3 linked regions of the Oreochromis niloticus genome follow. Each later gene encodes a partner of the first gene's protein in a complex. Links are inferred from orthologs where the notes say so. Each region holds a gene or a part of one and is shown on either strand. Other genes may lie near its edges.

What was found. The genes of interacting proteins can lie anywhere in the genome.
Region 2: bud13 (region 1) and rbm48 share a complex: the UniProt entries of both Homo sapiens proteins name them as parts of the minor spliceosome. The link is inferred for Oreochromis niloticus from reciprocal best matches to the Homo sapiens genes BUD13 and RBM48.
Region 3: bud13 (region 1) and sf3b2 share a complex: the UniProt entries of both Homo sapiens proteins name them as parts of the minor spliceosome. The link is inferred for Oreochromis niloticus from reciprocal best matches to the Homo sapiens genes BUD13 and SF3B2.

Annotation. Positions count from the first base shown.
Region 1 is NC_031975.2:13,772,440-13,780,367, reverse strand, and holds the start of bud13 (BUD13 homolog), read right to left. Parts: upstream 3,033-7,928; 5' UTR 2,993-3,032; coding exon 2,850-2,992; intron 2,703-2,849; coding exon 2,612-2,702; intron 2,356-2,611; coding exon 2,271-2,355; intron 2,182-2,270; coding exon 1,621-2,181; intron 1,425-1,620; coding exon 1,120-1,424; intron 1,026-1,119; coding exon 917-1,025; intron 749-916; coding exon 610-748; intron 501-609; coding exon 319-500; intron 184-318; coding exon 102-183; intron 1-101. Other genes in the region: ribosomal L1 domain-containing protein CG13096, read left to right, coding at 7,377-7,425. UniProt on the Homo sapiens protein: Involved in pre-mRNA splicing as component of the activated spliceosome. As a component of the minor spliceosome, involved in the splicing of U12-type introns in pre-mRNAs.
Region 2 is NC_031985.2:22,586,993-22,593,395, reverse strand, and holds rbm48 (RNA-binding protein 48), read left to right. Parts: upstream 1-4,080; 5' UTR 4,081-4,106; coding exon 4,107-4,235; intron 4,236-4,325; coding exon of another isoform or gene 4,326-4,397; exon of another isoform or gene 4,398-4,452; intron 4,453-4,485; coding exon 4,486-4,676; intron 4,677-4,758; coding exon 4,759-4,904; intron 4,905-5,102; coding exon 5,103-5,632; intron 5,633-5,728; coding exon 5,729-5,791; 3' UTR 5,792-5,894; downstream 5,895-6,403. Other genes in the region: peroxisomal ATPase PEX1, read right to left, coding at 1-6, 101-186, 347-453, 624-744, 888-1,007, 1,123-1,808, 1,960-2,074, 2,226-2,309 and 2 more; clxn (calaxin), read right to left, coding at 5,909-5,959, 6,047-6,151, 6,286-6,403. UniProt on the Homo sapiens protein: As a component of the minor spliceosome, involved in the splicing of U12-type introns in pre-mRNAs.
Region 3 is NC_031967.2:24,041,321-24,049,338, reverse strand, and holds the start of sf3b2 (splicing factor 3B subunit 2), read left to right. Parts: upstream 1-5,009; 5' UTR 5,010-5,064; coding exon 5,065-5,194; intron 5,195-5,643; coding exon 5,644-5,690; intron 5,691-5,923; coding exon 5,924-5,974; intron 5,975-6,680; coding exon 6,681-6,905; intron 6,906-7,134; coding exon 7,135-7,185; intron 7,186-8,018. UniProt on the Homo sapiens protein: Component of the 17S U2 SnRNP complex of the spliceosome, a large ribonucleoprotein complex that removes introns from transcribed pre-mRNAs.

The DNA of each region.
Region 1 (7,928 bases):
ATTGCAAAATGACAAAGTGATGTGTGTATTAAAAACATTCAATATTAAACTACAAATCTGTCCTCAACAGTTTTCCTCTGTCACTGATGTACAAACTCTACCTGTCAACTCCGTCCCAGCGGTACCCCGGTGGAATATTGAACCGGTTTGGAGGTGGAGCAGGGCCTTTATATTGAGGTTTATCTACAAAAAATCAAAACAAAACATACAAATAAATAAAAATACAAACAGTAGCAAAAACAAGACTGCTGTTATTTAAAAACTTCTTACAAGGATTGACCTGGTGAAATAAAATAAAACATATGTAATGTTAAACACCTTGTGTTTTTGTGCCACGGTCCTTTTTACGCCTGAGCATTGCAGCCATAGGATCGCCTTCTCTTTCCTGTTCTCTCAACATGCGGTCAAGATCCTCATCGTCACGGTGACGTGCCAGTGGCTTCTGGGCTTCGTGCAGCGCGTCCTCAAGTTTCTGCTGATGCATCTGGCTCTGTGCCAACCTATACATACATTTTAACATAAACCATTGAACCACATGATGCTTTTATAATCTTTTATGTGGATACAATCTCATAAACTGTGATATTTGAAATGATCATGCACATTTACCCTTTTCCCCACTGAGCGTATTTCTCGTCTCTTGCCGCTTTTTCTCCAGCTTTCTTCTTCTGTTCATCTCTCTCTGAATCCAGATCCCTCCTTTTGCCACTTTTGTCTCTGAAAATCGTCTGAGCATTACGTGATTCATCTGGTCATAGGGGATGAATGGGTAAGTATGTAGAAACGACATTATTTAATTTTAGAACTAAATAAAATACGACAATATAAATGATAAGCTGAAATGAGACGCAAAGCTGTATGAAACTCTTCCATCAATGGGTGTAAAAAAATCTTAAGAGAGAAAAGTTGAGGAAACCTTCAAGTGGCTGATTGTGTTTCTCTCTACGTCTGTTCTCCTCTTGCTCTTTCCTTAAAATGTCCACAGAAACCAGGCCTGCCTTTCCACCAGATAGCATCCTTTGGCCCTGGTTATAAAATAAAAAGACAATGAAAAAAAAGAAAGAAATCTGAGCGAAATCAGATTTTACATTACTCTTTGTTCCAACACAGTCTGCTTACCTGTGACTGGCCTGGCCTACGAGGAGGTGACAAATCTCCATCCGAGTCCCTTCCACTCGGTGGCCGCACCCTGGGTGGAGACTGGTCAGAGTCTGAGCCCCGTTTAGTTTTTGAGGGCCTTCTTGGAGGAGATTGGTCGGAGTCAGAGGCATTTCCCTTTAGGGGCCTTTTCCTCGGGGGAGACGGATCCGAGTCTGAATCATGTCTATTCTGACCCTTCTTAGCCACCGCTGACCGATGAGGATCCGGTGAGCGTTTTTTACTTAACAAGGATGAGCTGAGCTTGCTTTTGCTGGAGGCTGAATCTGACAAAGACACAGTTAATTTGTTAATTTTCATTTTGTAATGACTTTTGAACAAAAATTAAAGATTTATTATTAGATCAAGGTATGCCTTAAAAAGAAATTTCCATACAAAACTCATGTTAAATGGGCCTTTGCTTTTTACTTTTATTCATATGCCACACCAGATTCCAATTTACAATTTAATTGGATCACTCACCTTTACTTTGCAATTTTTCTGACTTTTCTGAACATTGTCTCGGTGGTGACAAGTCTGGGGAGTCATGACGTCTTCTCCTGGGAGGAGAGACATCCGGAGAGTCGTGACGTCTTCTCCTGGGAGGAGAGACATCTGGAGAGTCATGACGTCTTCTCCTGGGAAGAGAGACATCCGGAGAGTCGTGACGTCTTCTCCTGGGAGGAGAGACATCCGGAGAGTCCTTCCGACTTTTCCTTGGAGGAGAGATGTCTGGAGAGTCATGCCGACGTCTCCTTGGAGGAGAGATGTCTGGAGAGTCATGCCGATGTCTCCTTGGAGGAGAGACATCCGGAGAGTCCTTCCGACTTTTCCTTGGAGGAGAGATGTCTGGAGAGTCATGCCGACGTCTCCTTGGAGGCGAGACATCTGGAGAGTCATGCCGGGTCTTTTTGACAGGAGAATCCCGTCCTCTTCTCTTTGAAGACAACTCTGGTGAGTCATGTCGACCTCTGCTTAATGACCCAGCCTCTGTATTTTGATGTTCTTTTCCATTTCCTTCCTCTGTGTCGTCATTTTGATCCACTTTTAGGAGAGGAAGTAAAAGTATAGTAAACAACATTCTTAACTTAATATTGCACAAATCCCCCCTACTTCTGTGACTTCTTATTTACCTCCAATTACTTTCCATCTGTTGCTGGTCCTAAAAACTTCCATCTGTTTCACTTCCTCGGGTCGATCATCAATCACCTCAGCAATCTGAACAGTTAACAAAAGATTAAGTTTTAAAACAGAACTTGGTGACATAACAAAAATGATCCAAACTACAAGCATACCCATTTAATACAATAGATTAAATTTCAGCATTAAGTAGTGTCCCAAATCATCAGGCGCATGTTTATTGTTTAAAAGAAACCCTCCTATACAGGAGCGCATATAGCATATGTTTAATCCGTAATCATTTCAACTGAATGAATGGACAGGTTAGCCAGGTAGCTAGCTAACGTCATCTTACCACTGGAGCTTCTTCTTCATCCTCTTCCTCAATCTCCGTCTGCTGTGTGACCATCTGTTTCCAATCTATGTCATCGTCCACTATTTTAAGTCTTGAATCAAAGAAGTAAACACGAGTAAGTTATTACATTAGGCAGTGAGGAAAACAGCGCTGCACAACACCAGAGTCGTTAACTAGCTTAACGGCTCCACAGCTAAATCTGCAGCAAAAATCGACTAAAACGTCGCCAGCGGCTCACCCCTTCTCGGGAACCTTGCGACGCTTCTTTTTTGCCTTTCCTTTAGATTTCAGGGAATCATCGTCGGCTGATAAATAACGTTTTAGGTACTCAGCCTTAGAGAGTTCCTGTCCGTTCTTACTGCCTGTGGAAGCAGCCATCATTATGTTGTCGGAAACTACGGGTGGCGCTGAGGTTCAAGAATGCCAGTTCGGATAGCGGATGCAAGGGGTAGGCTGAGATTGAGGCAGGCAGGCAAGCAAGCATGCCTAAATTGTAAAGTGTAAACTATAGTTAGCAAATAAAATAATACAAATAAATTAATACAAATAAATCATGAAAGGGTTTTGAGGAATTTACCATTGTTAACTCCAATTTCACTCCAGGTGCAGTGCTGTGAAAGTATTTATGTGAAGGGGGAAATAAACCTGTTCAAACTTACCTGTCCCTGTGTAAAACAGTAATTGCCCTGTTGTTAAATCATTAATTAATTTACTGAAATTGGGTTAACTGTGATAAACCACATTTTTTGCTGAGGTGCAAAAGTGAGAATGAAATAAGAGAACACCAATAGTTTTAATTGATATCAGTAAGAGGAAGTTAAACTATCACCAAAAAATTGTCAGTCATGTGTTGGCATTGTTTCTACGTCATCAAAATAATATTGGTCCAGGTTTACTGACACTTACTGACACCGTCACATTATCAATGCTGGTCATCATGCCCTTTTGCTGCTAAAGTATTTATACCTACTTTTCTATACCTTCTTCTATATTCTTCTATATCCTTCTTCTATATTCTGTTTTTTTTCTTGTTATTGTTATTGTTATTGTTATTGTTATTGTTACCAGCATTATTATACAGATGCAACACCAACACAAGGACATCAGATACACTGTCACTCATCATGAAAAACAACATGCCAGAGTCATGCCATGGCCTCAACATAAAAGACAATACCTCTTACAAATACCTCTGTCATGAGAGTGATAAACACACAGTGCAGCATTATAGATTATAGATTAAGTTACTAAGCTGCTGATCTTTTGTCTTGATGCATGCTCAGTCATCCAGGTAATGGAATCCCAAAAAGTGGATTCTCTTCATTTGGATGTAACGTTTTCAGTGTTAGAAACATTTCATCACTCATCCAAGTGACTTCTTCAGTCTCAACTGACTGCAGGTTTCCCCAATCTTAAAAACCGTACCTTTGCAGAATTACTAAAACTAGCATCACTGGCAAACAGTGGGCTGTGATGTAGTTTCTTGATCATTAACCATTTATGACTGTCACTGCTCAGTGACAGAAATACTTATGAGCCCCTGAAACAAGCCCAGGAAGTGGTAACAGGAAGAGGGTGATAGATTGTCTGAAGCAGTTAGAAAAAGCCAATGCTATTGACCGGACCTCATACCACAGGCTATACCCAGGGACAGTCTATATGGTGTACCTTTAGGACCAATTGTCTGTATAATCAACTCGGTCACCTATAACACCTTAAAGCTTCTGGCTTCGATCCTCAACCCGCTGGTAGGCAACTCTAAACACCACATCCAGAACAGTTAGTTTTGGTCATTGTGCAAGGGTACTGTTTATTCATGTTACAGCAACTCATGAGTGAATGAACACGGTGCAATAAAAGTACTTTTAGAAGTACATTTTTCCAAACACTGGTGGTGTCAAATTTGTAAGGAAAATGTGGGTTGAGCACGAGAGTTGAGTATGTGGGTTGTGGCCAATGTTCCCTCTAATTTTTCATGTGTCTGAGCGAACACACAAACTCCCTGAGCGATCCCTTGGATCACTGTGAGCGACATTAGATGTGTGCACTGTGGTCACGCCAGCATTGAATCCATCCAAGTTACATGGTTTATTAAAATTAAAATAAAAAAAATAAAAATAAAATTACAGCATTTACATTTCTGTTAGACTACTTTTAATTAACTGCTTTAGACCAGTTACAATGAAAGTTTAAAAAAAAAAAATCTTGTTCATGACCTGTGTAGTATATTAACACTATTGGAAGTAAAAATAACTTGAACTCCAATTTTGAAAACACAACTTTCTTTCTTTCTTTCTTTTTAAAAAAAAAAAAAAAAAACTCTGACTTGTATTATGAGTCTGTGGTCCGTGAGAGAGTCCTGTCTGCAAAATACAGTATATAATGACCAATGTTGGGCAAATAATTATATAGTTACTTCTTCAAAAAAGCAACTGAGTTTTGCAAACAAGTTTTTTTGCAGCTGTTTACCTAAAAATGCTGCCAAGGCGGTTTTTAAAACAAACATTTCAAAATACTTATAGAACAATCAGGTGTTCTGTATCAAATCTGATGCCACACAAATTATTTGTGCCACTCCAAAAATTAATTTCTGTCCACTATCAGATAAAGGAGAAAAACAGCCTGATACCTGCAGGCCTGACAACAGGAGATGTATCACTCCTGTAACACCTGTAACATTCAGCAGTCGCCTCATTGTTCTGACACACACAACAAAACTATTGACTACACTACACACTAACTACACACTAACTACACAAGATTTGCGCTAAACGTCTCAAATCTCTCACATCTCAAAACACCGCCGTCACTCCTAAAACTTCCCCCCGTTTCTTAACAACTAAATGCCATGTTTTGATTGGTCGACATGGTACATTTTGCGACCAATGGGAAAGGGTGTGGGGTGTTTTGGTTTCGTCTTTGCTCACAGGCGGAGAGTGCTTTCGAGCGTTTTCCTTAGAAAACGCCGTTTTTACCGTTTCTTCCCGCAGTAAATATAAACAACGATAGTATTCAGGAAGAAAACCAAACATTGCATTTTTTTTTTTTTTTATCATAACTCTGGTTTTACGTGGCCTATCAACACAATTTAAAAACTGGTATAAAGTCCACACTTTTTCCGTCAATTGTTCCGTCTGTCCTGCTCACATCTCCAATGGTTGTACACGTTGTCATTAACGTGGCTTAACTCCACATCAGCCACGCTTTGCTAGCTAAAACACCGGTGTCGGCACATATTTACTTTAATTTCAATTCAGGTTAGAATTTTTTTTGTGTGCGCAACGCAGATTTTCTCTGCGCAGAGACCGTGCCAACAGTGCGCAATTGCGCACGTGCGCAGCTTAGAGGGAACATTGGTTGCGGCCATGAAAAATTTGCCAATAGCAAACAGTTTATTTTGCTATTGACACTTGTTGGGTGTCATTTATTGAATTCTGAAAAAACAAGCCACATCCACAATTTAATATTTTATTCTTTTAACAAATAGGGGCGTCACTAACATGTGGAAGAACAATACGCAGCCACAACAGCCTGGCATTTCAACCTCATGCTGGTCACCAGGTTGGCCACACACTGCAACTCAGCCAGTGTGTGACCAAGTGCTGTGTTGGTCACTGTGTTAAATAGGGTTGTGTCCTTGTTTTATTTTGTTACATTTTTGGAAGAACCAAACTGCAGGTTCAGAGAGTGTTTCATTTTGCAACAACTGTATGTCATTGATATCTATGATCAACTACTTATTCCAAGACAAAACCAAGTTCCCAAAAGATATACTAAAATATATTCTGTAGATACCATCCAAGATGTTGGGTGTAAATACCCCCTTTACGAAGCTCTACCAGAGTATTGCACTCAAGCTTGTATCTTTTTCCGACTTCTACAAGTTCATTTTTAGATTAAATTTAACCTCAAGGCCCAAACACAGTCATTTTATCCTGTTTTCCTACCATCAAAATATGTATAAATACATTACACAGCACATTTTGACACTCAGACTGTTGAATGCTTTTATTTTCAAACTTTTCAATCCAGGAAAGCCAAATGGAAAATATAAAGTATAGATTTTATATGAACAACAGAGTCTGCGTCTAACTAATCAAAAGGTTTTTAAGCCATGGAGCAGTTCAGCAAACATGTAAAGCAGCAAAAATACACTTCAGGTAGAAAAGTGTTTTCAATAATTAATTACTGATGGAAGACTCACTCTAGTTTACTTGAATTAATTTATTTTAATACAGCAAGAAAGGGGAAAAAATCACGAACCCGAGGAATACTTTAAACTTTATGCAAAACACTCATGGGGTGGTGTGAACATAAACCAAAAAGCCAACAAATGGTATCCACTACCTGAAAAATGGCGCCATCTTGTGGCCTCTATCTGTCACTGTAATTCCTTCAAAGCTTTGTGGAAAATGCTTCACCTGTAAAAGTTCCGTAGTCACCACTGACAGTTTTGTTTACCTGCAGGACGTTCAGCGGCGTCATTCGATGACGTCACAGGAGAGTCAGAACGCAAAAGTAGCAAGTAAACCTATGACGTTCATCTCTGCATCATTATATTTGGATGTAATTGGTGGAGAAATATCAGTTAACACTTCGCAGCGTTCCTCGCAGCATTCACTTGGCTTACTCTACATTTACATCGTGTTTTTAAAAAGCTTGTTAAAAAGTTTTCAAACAATTTTAAAGGACTTTGGACAGTCTGAAAGTTTTAAACCAGTCAGCTTAAAAGTTTGACAACTGTAGTTTCCTCCAGACTGTTTTCATGGATCAAATGGAGAGTGGAGACGGACAGCATAACGACCCCATTCGAAGTAAGAGCGTGATTTCTCTTTTCAGTTTTCAGATGGATTATCTGACAGTTTGTTATTACACATAACAATTTCCAAAGTTTTAAGGCCTCAGTCACACAAGCCCAGAGTCTGGTCTGTGACCCCTGAAAACCTCCGTGTGGTACAGTGTATTTCCTGGTTCACTGGGAATACACATATTTCTCTTTTAATCCACTTTGCAAAGAGTTGCTTTGCAAAGTGGATTATTTAGACTTTGCATTACATATTATATATAATTATAACAATCCTAATTAATTAGTTTAATAGTGCATTACTACAGTGAGGGCTGAGGAAAACATTGAAATAGTGACATTTATTAGCTGCTGCTCATCGACTAAAGCCTTTTTTTAAATTGAAGGAGCAATTACACTATAATAATTTTAATATATGTCTGTTTGTATGTTCCCTGTGTAGTTGCACAAATTGGAATTTGTGGACAGTTTTGGCATCATATGAATGATAACAATAAATTATTTCTTTATTTA
Region 2 (6,403 bases), on another chromosome or scaffold:
ATCCCACTGGGAAAAAAAACAAACAAACATGAGTGAGACTGATGGAGAAAGAATCGCCTGCTTAAATCATGCATTTGTACTGAATTAGCAAAAGACGTACCCAAGAATACTAAGAGAGGGAAGTTCTGGGTGGGGTGTTTCAGCTCCAGGCTTCACAGCTGGGGTGGTTACTGGCTCTCTGTCTACCTGAAGATGAGAAAAAGACATAACTGTGAACAACTTCAAAGACTTTTTTTTTCTCTTAAAAACGTGTTGAATTTTTTAATAAAAACTGCATGAAGCAATCGGTTTACATATAAACTGTTTAAAGACACAGATATATAATTCTCCATTTGCATGGTGATACCTGTATGTCTTTCTTCTGGATAACTGTGGGTGCTAGAAGAAACAGCTGATCTGAAGCTTCAGTCTGTGGTTCTGGTTTCAGCACAGTTAAAGCAAACTCTAGCTTTGCTATGGAAAAGAATAAAAAGTGAAGGGACATTATTTTTTAAAAAAAAGCTAATTTAAGATATTTATTATTACCCCTTTTTTTAACCTTACATAGCCATATGCAAATCTGTCTGTACATGATTTATAAATACACTTCTTTGGCTTGTAACGGAAGTGCAGGAATGAATCACCATCAGTTCCATGTAGGAGGATGGTGCCAGACCGTGCTGTCAGACAGGCTAAAGGTTCGTGACTCTGTGTGTGCAGCCAACCAAGGAAAGCTGTCTGGATCTCCTCATCATCCTCCTCAGGCTGAAGAGAAAAATGTCAAAAAAAATCAGATGGACAGAAAGGAAAGAAGCTGAACAGATTTTCTGCAATTCTGATCAAATTATATGTCCTTGTACTTCATTTACATCCGACACTGTAACGCAGATGTACATTCCAGCACTCACCAGTGGATTTAGGGGTTGTAGGCAAATAGTAGAAGCTACTTTGATAGCTGATTTCACTGACTTAATTCTTACTGTTGAATGGGCAGGGATATTCAGCCTGCTGGCCAGAGGCTCTGGAATCTAAAAAATGAAAGATACAAAAATTTTAACCAAAACAGAAAGAACTAGGGCACTGCGGTATAGCTAAAATACTGTTTATAAACTATATATTCTCCTCTTCAGACACCATACTCACCCATACTCTTCCACTGTGAATCTCTCCCTTGCTTCTTTCCTTGCATCCAAACAGCTCGGTACAATGGCACACTGCCCTAACCACCATGGCCTCCTCTTCCTTCACCTCCTCTCCTTCAGGTGTAGCAGTCTCCTTAGTAACTCTTGGCTTCTTCTTTTTCTCCATTGCCTGCTTGGTTCTGTCCCTCATTTCTTTGGGGGATGGGACTTTGGAGAGAAGGCCATATGTAATTGAGGAGTGACCTTCACTCAGCCTGGCATTGAAACTGTGGCTCCAAGGAAAGATGTGAATAGCATTAGTTGCAACGTGGCTTATAGTGCTGAGAGAGTGGGGAGGTGAACCGCACACTCTGTACAGAGAGTCCGTAAGGAGAGCGGGGATTTCAGGTAAAGGCGGTTGTTCCTTAACTGGGTCATAAGCGCCCTTTATCATGTGATGAAAAAGGCTTTTCAGGTCTGCTATGCCACCCCACTGGTGGCTGTTAGAGGTGGAGGAGGTACTTTCTGATGATGGTCCTGAAGGGGAGGAGAAATCCATGTTTGGCTGTCTGTGAAAACTTTCTGAGTTTGGGTTGGCTTTTAGTTGAGAATGTGTGTGGGTGCCAGTTTCTGCGCGGATCTTCGGGGACACAACAAGTTCTGTGAACTGCTCCAGGCGACCGTAGGGCACACGTGGAGAAAGTGAAGCTGTGCAGAATTTAAAAAAAATTAAACTGTATTATATAAGTCAAACATTTAAAAATGAAGTTGAGCAGGCAAACCATTATAACTGCAATATTTCTGTGTAACATGTTATTTGATAAACAACATATAACAGAATAATTGTATCAAAACTGACCTATTCGGATAAAGATTACCGTGTGGTTGTCCACCCACACAGGAAACACGGCATCTTGGAAAACTACTCTGATCTGATCCAGTAGTTGCAGCTCCAGTGCAGAACTGTGGAGCTCCTGGCGATGTCAGTCACACAAAAGTGATATATTAATACTTCTTAAGAGTGCTTTAAAAAGGAGAAGTCACCTTGTAGTTATTAGAGTGTGTAAAATAGTGCAAATTGTATGAAGACAAGTTTCACACACTGTATGTAACTAAATTACCCACCAGGATTTCCCAGTCATCAGCTGATACAGGCTCCACAAACACCCGATCCAATGATGAGACCTGATGACATGGCCTTAAGAAGCCCTGAGGGAAAACAAGCCAGTAAACCAAACAACTAGTAAGTCCAAAATTAGCTTCTTCTGTAAATACAGCGAAGAACAGATTCCTCACGGAGGGACTCTACCTGCTCTCCATCTGTCAGGCCCTGCTTCTCTCCTAGCTGCCGACACAGCTCCACTTTGTGGCTGTCCAGGCTAGAGCTGGCTCTGTTTTGAGTCCAGGTGAGGAACACTGGAGGCCCATGACCACAGGACAACTCCAGAGGCTGGTTCTGAAAAAGACCGTAAATGGGTTGACTGTGAATGCCACTGTATACAAAAGTATTCTAAAGTCATTGCCAAGTTGCATCCCATGCAACTTGGCAATGACCCCAAATTAGAGCAGCAAATCTACAACAGAGTGGCTGTAAAGGAAAGGAATCAGTGTGTTGCAATGGCCCAGTCAAAGTCCAGACCTCAGCCTGATTGAAATGCAGGGTCTAAAGAGAGCTGTGCATAAAAAAATTCATGCAAACACTGTGAAGTAGAGTGGGACAAAGTTTCTCCACAACACTGCGAGACACTAATAAAGACATAAATAAAATGGTTACTTCAATTTAGTGCTGCTAAAGGTGGTTGTACCAACTTTACTGAATCAAGGGGTGTACTTTGTTTTTCACATGACTGCATGTTTGCTGAAGCACCTTTTGTTTACCCAGACTATACCATGACCATCATCCTTGCTTGCAACCATGCTTGAGAAAACAAATCCTCCTCACTCAATCCATTTTACACAGTTTAGACTAATAATGACAGGGTTAACCCAGTTCTGAATCCTTTGTAATTAAAGGTCAAACTCAAGGAGAGAAAGCCACGAAACAGGAATTCCTGTCAGCCAAAAAAGTGCAAATATAAACAGAAAGCTCTCATCAGAAAACCACTGTTCATTCATAACAGCGAACAGGACACAAGCTAGAAAAGTCATTTAAAAAATACCCTTAGACCCCGGATTCATTTCTAACACAGTCCTTTGCCTCCACCAAGTGAAACCGTAAAGGAACTGCTACGAAAACAGCTCCACCGAGAAGGAAACAAATACTGAAATACCAATTGCTAACTACCCTCTCTCTCCATATGCTGAAGTATTGTGTTTGACTCAGCTCCTCTTCTATCTATATTCAGAGCATGTTTCCAGCCGGGCCGAAGTGGAGTGAATGGAGTCATGAAAAACTGATCTTTCAAATTCATTTGGTCTAAAGAGCAGCCTGACGCGAGGCTGAAGTCACATTTTATTTTGTAATGTGAATAACTGTCAAAGGGTCTCGAAAATTAATTTACAGCAGCATTAATTTTGTTAAAAAATAAAAGAATAGAACAACACACAGAACGGGCCAACATTTTAGCTAAAAATGGTTTAAGTCAACAAAGCTTCTACTAATTTTACCTAAACGATAGTGCTAGGTGGTTAGCTAGGCTATCTTACCTCGTTCAGGGAAAGCTGTGATATTAGCTTCAAGGGAAGGTGTAAAAAGCAGTTTTTTGCGTTGTTAAAAGTGACCGTTACGGGTTGAATGCCCTGATTGCTAAACATGATTTTCACATAGTTTTCTATTTCGCGTTCAACGCGTCAAGCAAGCTGCACCGCTAACATCAAGTGTGTGACAAACTCATAGTCGATCGATGTGCTCTGTGTGGGCCAGGCCAGACCAGAGTAGCCGATATTCGGTTGAACGCATTTCAGAATAAGACATCCAACGACGCCATGCTTTGAATGAATCCTATTCAACATGAAAATGAACCTTTATTTTGAAATGCATCAAGTGAAAAGTTCATTTCCACAAACATGGCGGCTCCCGTCAACAACAGCTCTGGCTGTTGGAGAGTCCCGGAGGTTTACAAACATCACGAACAGCGGAGAGTGTGCATTTCTCGACCAAAATATAGGGAAGGAAGAAAAGCCAAAGCAGTTAAGGTAAGAAGACGCTTCTGTTTAGAAATATTTGACCAAAAGAGCGTATCTTAAGGTGTGAGACACCCCCTGCTACGTGGGAACGCCACTTACAGTGTTGTTAAAAAACATCTGCTCCCGGATTTTATGGACTCCAGTGAACCACAGTGAGAGCCTTGACCACATCTAGATGATAAATATAACCACTATTCGCAGTTTTCACATGAGCATTTTTCCATCAGTGTACCGCAGTCAAGTGTTGCATTATTTGCAGGTTTACACCATAAATTTAGAGAGTCGTTACCTGATGGTCCAAGGAGTCCCAGCGATTGGGGTTATGACTGAGTTGATTCAGCTGTGTGCCCTTTATGGAGCTGTGGAGGAGTACAGGCCCCTGGACGAGTATCCTGCCGAGGAGTTCACAGAGGTCTACCTCGTAAAGTTCCAAAAACTCACAAGTGCCAGGTACAAGATGTAACTTAGACTGTTCATTATGCCTAACTTGCAAAGTCTGAAGGACCTTCTGAATAATTTGGTTTTGTTTCAGAGCAGCAAAGCGACGCATGGATGAGAAAAGTTTCTATGGTGGTGTGCTGCATGTGTGCTACGTCCCCGAATACGAGACTGTGGAAGACACCAGGCTCAAGCTGCAGGACCGGAGGAGCTATGTCATCCGGGCTGCTCAGAAGAGAGGTATAATTTTATATCTATAGGTTATATTTTGCCTCACAAAAACGACCACTCCAATGAGAAACATCTTAGTTCCTCATTAGTCCAAGCAAACAATTTCCACCATTTCCCTTTTGCACTTTTATTTTAATTTGACTCGGATCTTTTTGAATGATGGGGATTTCTAAACTTTTTTTTCTGTCTCATTTTATTATTGCAAAGTGAGAGAAAGGGAACAGAAAGAGGACACACAAGAGGAGCCTTCTTCATCAGAAACAACTACCATGTCAGATGACAACATCCTCACACACAAACAGACCTCTGGAAATGACAATACAAGGGAGACTTCAAACGTCAGCCACTATTTAGGCTTTCCTCCACTGCCATTACCTCCCCAAAAACATCATTACCATAGGCCTAAAAGTCAACATTTACCGACAGAGGATAAAATGGGGACTTTACACAATACCTGTGCTGGCACATTCGAGCAGCGAGAAGGGAGTTCAAGGAGCAAACAGACCTTATTGAGCAGACAGGCAGCACATCAGGCTGCGGCAGTCAGATTTCTTCCTCGGACCACACACTTGGAGAAACGGAAACGCAAAATGGAAGAGGCTGAGGAGCCCTCCAGTACTGTTTCTGGGCAGAATGAGCCTTTGATTGGACCAAAACTACCAGAACCATCCAAACTGGACATGGAGGATGAGTCACTGAACACAACTGTCAGCCTGATCAGGAACACAATGAAGCAGGTACATGTGATTATATTGTTTTGGTTGTAGTTAAGGACAAAATAATATTTTCACTATGATCTAAATCAGTTAAACCAGTTTCATCGTCTCTCCTAGGTGACATCGAGTCCAGACATCAAACCAGTGGAGAAGAAGGTCAAACCACGCCGTCGGATTTGATAGAGCAGGACTTTTTATTTATTTATTTTTTATTAAAAAATTTTGCATCACAGGACCATCTGCCATTGAGGTTAATATTAAAGATGTTTAGGCTGGGTATGGAGTTATGTGATTTGTTTATTGTTCCATTTGTTCCTGAAATACGCGTCCCTCAAACATCTCGATTCTCTGAAAAAATAAGAAAAGCAGACTGTAAGATTGAGAATTTTTGATGGGGAAATTTAAAGAGCTTAGAAGCTTCTCATTACAGATTACCCTGAAGTCAGGAAGGCAGGTTCCAAAAGCTTCCAGCAATAGGTTTTCATCTTTCACAGCCTTTTCAAAATCTTCAAAAGACAATTTGCCATCATGGTCATAGTCCTGTGGGAGGAAGCACCGTTGGCAGAGCTGGTAAACTATTTACAGACCTAAGAATTTTTTAAATAGTGTTTTGGGTTTGTTTTTTGTTTTTAAATCATGTGTAAACAGTTATATCTGTGCAGCAAACAGCTCACCATCTTCTTCAGTATGATCTCCACCAGGTCTTTGATTCCTTCGTCAGGGTCCTCCTCATTGGGTTGTCTGATGAGCCTGCCCTTCAGCATATGAAGCATCTCCTCTCTAGAGATGGCG
Region 3 (8,018 bases), on another chromosome or scaffold:
CAGTAGCTATTAAGACGCTATTAAGCACTGATGAGGCTAGGCTGCTGCTTGCTTGTGGTGCATGTGGTTGCACTCTCGCTGGATGCTTTGATTGCAATCAAAAACGGAGGAGCTAAAATAAATCCCAAGTTTGTCACAGCAGAGACGTCTTCCTCAGTGCAAAAGATCCAATTCCAGATAACACTAGTCCTCGTCTGTTCTTTTTTTGGCAAGTTCCCACCGTGCAGGATCACAGCCTGTCCTTATCACAGCAGTGGCCAAACCCTGCACAAAAAAGAAGCTGAAAGTGAGGAACTGAGCACAAGAGTAAAAAAGTTATCCAGTGAGATACAAGTCTGTACATACCAATATCTACACATACATCAGAGAACAAAAGCACAGGCCGTGAACACCCTCCATGTGAAACGAGGTCTCCTTGTTTCTTTGAAGTCAACCACGCATGCATTCTTAGAAAAGCCTAACACACATGGCACATCTGTGCCAACTTTTACTGTGGTGCACTGAATGTGTGCACAGTGTAAGTGAGAACTACATTTAAAGTCAATGTTTAATCAGAAAAGCACATTAACAAAGGAGGATGCGTGTGTGGTTTTGTGTGAATTACGATAAAGGTTGCATGAGGCAAAGAACAAGCACGAGCTCTCTGTGTGACGCTTTAATTAAGCAGAGGCTGGGATGAGGAAGCATAAACTATCATTAGTGCCACCACAGACAGAACTGGAGCTTTGGACTGAGTTAGTCTCACTGTTTTGCTTTGAGTCTGCGTCTTTTCCATCAAACACAGAGTGGAAGGCGTTTATTTTTATCTTCTTTCAACTCTGTCAGCTTTTTTTTTCACTCCCTCACCTCAGATATGCACATAAAGATACGCACTTCCTGTTTTCAGTCCACAGGTGTCCGTCACAGCAGAAACAGAAAAGAATGTGGCTTTCACTGGCTTGTGTAGCAGTGGGGCCATGTAAGAGTTTCCTCCTCCTGCTAACAGTGAACCACACCCACAAAGATGGCCCATTTGACTGTGTGAAGAATGTTGCTGCTAAGAGAGCCAAAAACTGAGCATGCAGCTGCGACAGCAGGTTTCTCATCTGTTAAATTACACAACACAAAGACTTGTCTTTGCACATGCTAGCATGATGAAACTACATTAGGATCATGTACATGAGTACTACACATTATTTCTGCTAATAGACCCCTAAAGCTACAGCTAGCAAAGCTGGAAGCGCTGATTAATGGCTGCACCCACAACTATTGCTGCCATTATATTTCTTACCACAAGCATTATTACTCACAATAACAAAGGCACTTTTGCCACCGCTGTAACAACTACTGTTGCTTCCTCCTGCATTCTTTATAAAGAGCTATTTAGCATCTGTACCACATATTAGCATTAGCATCACTACAAGTGCCAACACTATTTTTCTTTATTATATAAATGTATGTACAAATTAAATGTGGACATGTAAATACCTTTAGTGAAGTGGCCTCTAGAGTTACACCTGTTAAACTGTGTGTTAATGCAAATATCTAATTAGCCAATCACATGGCACCAACTTAGTGTATTCAGGTATTTAGTCATGGTCAACACGACCTGCTGGAAATCAAACTGAGCATCAAAATGAGGAAGAAATGTGATTTAAGTGACTTTGAATGTGGCACGGTTGTTGTCAAACAGGCTGGTCTGAGTATTTCAGAAACTGCTAATCTGCTGGGATTTCCCCACACAGCCATCTCTACAGTTTACACAGCGTGAGCCAAAACGGAGTAAATTTTGGCGAGGGGCAGTTCTCTGGTGAAAATCTTCTTGATGTCAGAAGTCAAAGTGGAAATGTCAGACTGCTTCGAGGTGATCGGAAGCCAACAGTAACTCAAATTACTGCTCTTTATAACCAAAGTGAACAGAAGAGCGTCTCTAAACACACAACACAAACACAACAAGCAGACGGGCTACATCAGTGTGACACTCCCATCAGCTAAGGACAAGAAACTGAGGCTACAGTTCGCACAGGATTTGCAGATTTGGACAATAGATGATCGGAAATTTTCTGCTCTAATGAGACTCAATTTTAGCAACAACATTAGAACGTTACTGTCAGAATACGGCAAAAATATGAAAGCATGGATCCATCCTGCTGACCATGTTTATCCCTTTATTACCATTAATAAAATTGTCCCTGTTCTTCCCCTCACTGCTGAGTCTAACCCTAACCCTAACAAAAGTCTGGTTAAAAATGAAAGTTTTCAGATTCATGTCAGGCCCATGTGTTTGTTTCTTACCTCTCCTCTAAACTGCACCTTCTAGTTTGATCCCAGGAACCTGTCCAGACAGACCCTTCTGTACAAGCTTTATAGTCAACCTCCTACGAGGGATGTGCCAAATGTGGCGGAAAGGAGGAGTTACACCTGATTTCTACATCTTTTTTTCCCCACTGTTAACGTAGTCGCATTGTCACCTGAATGAAATGATTGAGCACTCCTATAACTTAACTTTTCCTAGAACGGGAGGAGCTACTGACTGTAGGCAGAAGTGTGTCAGGTGACTGCTCTGTGAGGAAAAAAAACACTGCCCCTCACAAAACACACCCATTACCATGAAATACTTGCAAACCACAAACAACTACTCATACGCTTTCAATATGCATGTCACTCTAAGTTAGTTTTATGACAAGACACCCATGGCCCCATTACTTAAACCAACAACAAAGGATCATAACGTGTTCTGTTAAAACCTCAGTTGTGTGGTTTTTACCTCTGCTGGCTGCCATCGGGCACATTTTACCCAACAACAGTTCAATCTGACTCTAATGAATATTTTACTTCCCCTCACATGAGAAATACATGCAGCCTGCATACCCTCACGCCACATCCCAACACACACACGCGCTTAGCCTCCCCCTCAATGTGGGTGGTAGCACAAGAGAATGTGCTACCGTATCGTCTAGCAATGCAACACTTAGTATAATCACAAGAAAACTGAAAATGTGCACTTTCATCCAACCTATAACCCAGCTCTTTTATTTATTTGTTTTGGCACAGCAGCAGGATGTTTCCTTTAACATAGGGGTTGTGCAGCCATGCAAAGGCTGTGAAAGCACTGCAATCATCAACTATGTGTGACTAATGCTTTTCTGCCGATGACTGTCTGAGTCCAGTTTCCTCCTCACGACTTGGGCTGATTAAATGCATGCTGATAGTAAATAAGTGTTGCCTTTGGGAGGGTGGAGTCAAGAGTTTGTGGCATGAGTAAGCCTTCTGAGCGCCTGTGGTGTATTTCTGCATGCAGGGGTTCATGTTCCAACACAGTTTACTGTGTGATAAAATATCCAAAGTGTTTGGAGAAAATAGACCAGCAGAGAGATCACACACACACACACACACACACACACACAGTGACCGCTGCAGGGAACATGCTGACTTCTGTGTGAGAGTCATTTTTCTCATCAAAGTCTGCAGGGAAAACAAGCAGCCTTTAGAAACACTGGGCTACAATTAGAGAATACTCGTTAGAGCATGCGCCTCAGCTCCAGCAGATTTTGCTCTTAATAAAACTTTAAGTTGGGCGCATGGCTCACGCAGATAAGCAAAAGCTCCTATGACAGATAGATAGGTGTGGTCCCGGGGAAAAAAATGAAATGAAAGAAATAAACAATGAGCAACACGAACAGCTGTTTGACGAATTTCCTATCCCTTCACTTCCATCAGTCACGGTGAAAAAAAAAAAATTAATAAAGATTAACACAGGAAAAGCAGATTTTGCGGAATCAACAGCACACTAATGTGGGCTAGTAATATTTCTTGGTTATTACTCTCGTGAAACCAGGGCCAGACTCGTGTTTGACTGTAGTTTGTTCCGGCTTTACAAACTAAACTAAACAACAACTCACAAACTTCCAGTTCTGCTCTTAAAAAAAAAAAAAAGTTCAGACCAGGAGGACAAACGCGTTTTGCACAGTGCACTTCCCTGCGCCCCGACACTAAACTGCTGATGTAAAGTGATGTTGAAGGATGAATCTCATATTTACCTTGCAATGCGTTTCCTCTGAAAAAAAAAAGTTTGTTACGGAAATTCAACATGCAACTTCACAACATGCTTTCCGTTCCATGTTTAGTATGTACCCTTCCTTGTACCCTCCCCTCTTCTCTATACAGAAGAAACGCCCTGCTGCCGCTATGTGTGCCCTCGTTCCAATGCGACTGCGCAGTGCCCGCAAGTCATAAAACTACACTGAAAGGGAGGGATTCGTGCGCTGTTCTCTCATGTAGTGCTCTTTGTTTGCAGCAGATTTTACTTGATGCTGTGGTTCATTATGGTAGTGCGCGTTTATATGCATTATGCTGCCCTTTAAAAGATAAAAATCCCTTTCTATGGTTTTACAAATACTGAGCCTAACTAAAAAGGACACATTTACCAAGTGCTAGACTCCATTTGAAGTTTAGTTACGCACAGTATTTCTATTTTATACCTACTTTAAAAGGTCAGTAGACTTGTAAGCTATAAAATGTAAAAATAGGGAAGTTCTTTATTCTTCTAACGGCAACATTTAAAGGATTTCAAGTCTAAGCAGCCAACGGTGACATCTAGCGACTCCAGTTAGTAGCGCGTTTATGCCCATCAGAAAAGAACAAATAGTGAAAATAAATTAATAAGATCGTACTGAAGTTGTAAACAGTGTAAACTATCACAGTGTATGGGGGGTGAGGGGGGTGATTGGGGGCACAGATTAGCGTCTGTTTGTGTGGGATTGTATTAGTCTGTATCTTTTTACCTGATGGCCAAAGTTCAAACACAGGGTGACTCGGTTGTGTGATGTGTCTGAAAGGAATGCCTTTTATTCCGCACAATGCATTGGACGCAGCTGAAGAATATGATTTTTGTCCCATTTTATGTTTTGTCCTATTGGGAATGTATATTTTGAAAGTACTTGATCTGACTGAATGTTGCAGTAGCAGTGCATTTAATTAAAAAAAAATCTCTCTTCAGACTTCACGTCCCGTCATGCATTGCGTGTTTCCCCAGCTCTCGCGTGTCCTCCGCTGCCGCCGTTGTTCCATTGAGCTAACCTCAACATGGCATCCGACGGACCGCCGGGCACCGACTCTCTCCCGTCCGATTTGGGGAGTGCTATTGCAGCTCTGAATACATGGAGCATCCCGGAGCTTCAGGGCAAGCTGGCAGAGCTTGGAGTACCCAACATGGGTAAGAAAAACACCCGCGTAGAGCACTACGCCTTATCACAGGCTATCGGCAGCTAGTCCGTTGCTAACTTAAGCTAGTAGCATTAAAACGCAACGCTTCCGTTGCAAGGAGTTTAAGCTAGGCCTGAGTTATGTTTACACTCTGTTAAGTAAATTTCATGCACTAATTAATCATGTAAGTGACATTTTAACTCTTGTGATTCATGTTGGGTAAAACTAAGAGCGTTTGGCTAGGTTTTTTCCTTCGTATTACCTCTGTAACTAGTTCAGCGGTTTAGCTGCTTTGCTAACTTGATATGGAGGGGTCAACATTAGCCTACTTTTCTGTAACTCGTTAACTTCAAAATGAGTTCTGAGTTTTTCTGGCACATTATTGGTGCACATTTTACACGCCTAAAGTGATATCAGCGTTGTTTAACAGCCGTTTCCGATTCATTTTCTCCTCTTTAGGTCCCAGAGAGGAGTTGATTGACAGACTGAAGGGCTACATGATGCAGGTAAATGCATTTGGATTCGGTTTTATTCAGTCAACGTGCAGCTGATTGGAATGATGGTGCTTTTTGTAACTATTGATGACCTTTCACGCTACGCTAGAGTAGTAATGAATAAAGTCTGGGCAGAAGTTAATAGTATATCCAAACTATTCATCTATTTCTCGAACCTCTTCTCCTTTTCATTGAAATCAAAGAAACTGTTCTGGTTTGTGTTTTTTACATGTGTCCCTCCACAGACTGGGATTCTTCTCAGCAAACCTACTGATGATAAACAAATGGGCTCCCAGGTAAATTAGAGGGAAAACACTGATGTCTGTTTAATACTGCAGCATACAATGGTGAAAAACATTACAATGTGTCGATGTAATGTTTTCTATATTTTGATTTACGTGTTTAGATTGTGCAGTTTTTGAGCACTAGACCAGCTCTCAAGCATATTTGAGGCTGTGTGTGTGAGTTTGCCCATCAGGTCTACATGTGTTTTGTAGACTTGGAGAAGGCATTCAATCTGGTTCCTTGCAGTGGGGGATCTTCCATAATATGGGGTGTATGGCCCATTTTTACAAGCCATTCGGTTCCTCTGCAACTGTTACTAAAGCTGTTACAGAGTGTAACACATTTGCTTAAAAAGCAAAAGATCCTGTTGTAGGAGGAGGCACAATTCTCTTTGGGGTTCTGTCAGGATTGGCTTCTTCTGAATCACATATCACAGAGCTACCTGCTGTTTTAACTCCTTAAGGGAGCAGCCGAAAGTCGCTTTTATGTAATCATAACTTTTCAGTCTTGCAAATTTGTTACAGTTGAGTATGTTTTGTCATGTGTTTGTAGAACTATGTTGAATGGTGTTAAGAAACACTTCACCAAAACAAAAACGAGAATTCACTGAACGCCTTAATATCTCACCTAGAAAGTCACACAGTCTCAGTGTGACTTCACTTCAGTCCTTCGTGCTTCCCATTAACATCACAGTCTCCTGTATTTCCTTCTCTCTAGATGCCAGGTATCCCTGCCATACCCCCAATGCCCATGCCGCCCATGCCTCCTGGTATGGGTATGATCCCAGCTATGAGCATGATGCCTAGTGGGCCCCCTCCACCTGGTATACACATGGGCATGGACCACTCTGTTTTGCCACCTGGCCTCACACAGGATGATCAGCTGAAGATGGCTCAGCATAGAGCAGCCATGTTGTTACAGCAGGAGGAGAGAGCCAAGCAGGTGAGGATAGCTGGACCTAAAGTTTACTGTTTGACTCATTTTTGCCAATTTGTTTTGCATTTATTAAACAAAGTAACATTCTGAGATGTGATCATAACGTAAACCACAATTTGACAGGATAAATGTTTTTTATAACTTCATAACAACACGGCAATAACTGCACTACACAGAAAACAGTTTAAAAAGCATGTTTTGTCTGACTGGCTGTTATTGTTTGTGGCTATCTCAGGGTGATTCCCATGTCATGGATGAACAAGATCTTTTGGAGCAACAGAAAAGGGTAAGAGGATGAAGAACTCTAAATTGAAATATTTTCTCAATGAGCTGCGTACATTTTCTCGGCTGGAAAAGGGTGGAAAAGCCAATTCAGTGTGGGAACACGTTGCTACCTCAAGTATCTAGTGCAGGGGTGGGCAACTCCAGGCCTCAAGGGCCGGTGCCTGCAGGTTTTAGATATCACGCTGGGTCAACACACCTGAATCAAATGATTAGTTCATTACCAGGCCTCTGGAAAACTTCAAGACATGTAGAAGAGGTAATTTAGCCATTTAAATCAGCTGTGACTAGATCAAGAACACATCTAAGACCTGCAGGACACCGGCCCTTAAGCCCTGGAGTTGCCCACCCCTGATCTAGTATCTAGTTCACAAACAAGGGAGAGTGGAGCGGGAGGGTGACAGATGAATCAGCATGGTGGATGCTGTGAGAAGCTGAATATGAAAGCAAGGCCATGAGTTTACCAGTGTGTTGGCACCCTCACGTGTGGTTACATTTTGTGGATAGTGACTGAAAGAATGACACCAAAGAAATGACGGGCTCGGCTCAGTCTTAGAGATGGGGTGAGGAGTTCAGTCATTCACGAGAGGTCAGAATAGAACCACTTCCACCAGGTGGTTCAGGCATCTGAATGTCATTGCCTCCTGGACCGCTCTAAGTTGAGGTGTTTTGGGCACCCTCTACCATCAGCAGGCCCCGGGGCAGATCCAGGACATGCTGGAGAGATTACATTTCTCAGCTGGCTTGGGAACACCTCCAGTCCCTCTGTAAGAGCTGGAAGAGGTGGCTGGGGTGAGAGTGTTCTGCTCAGACTTCTGACCCCGTGACCCAGAGCTG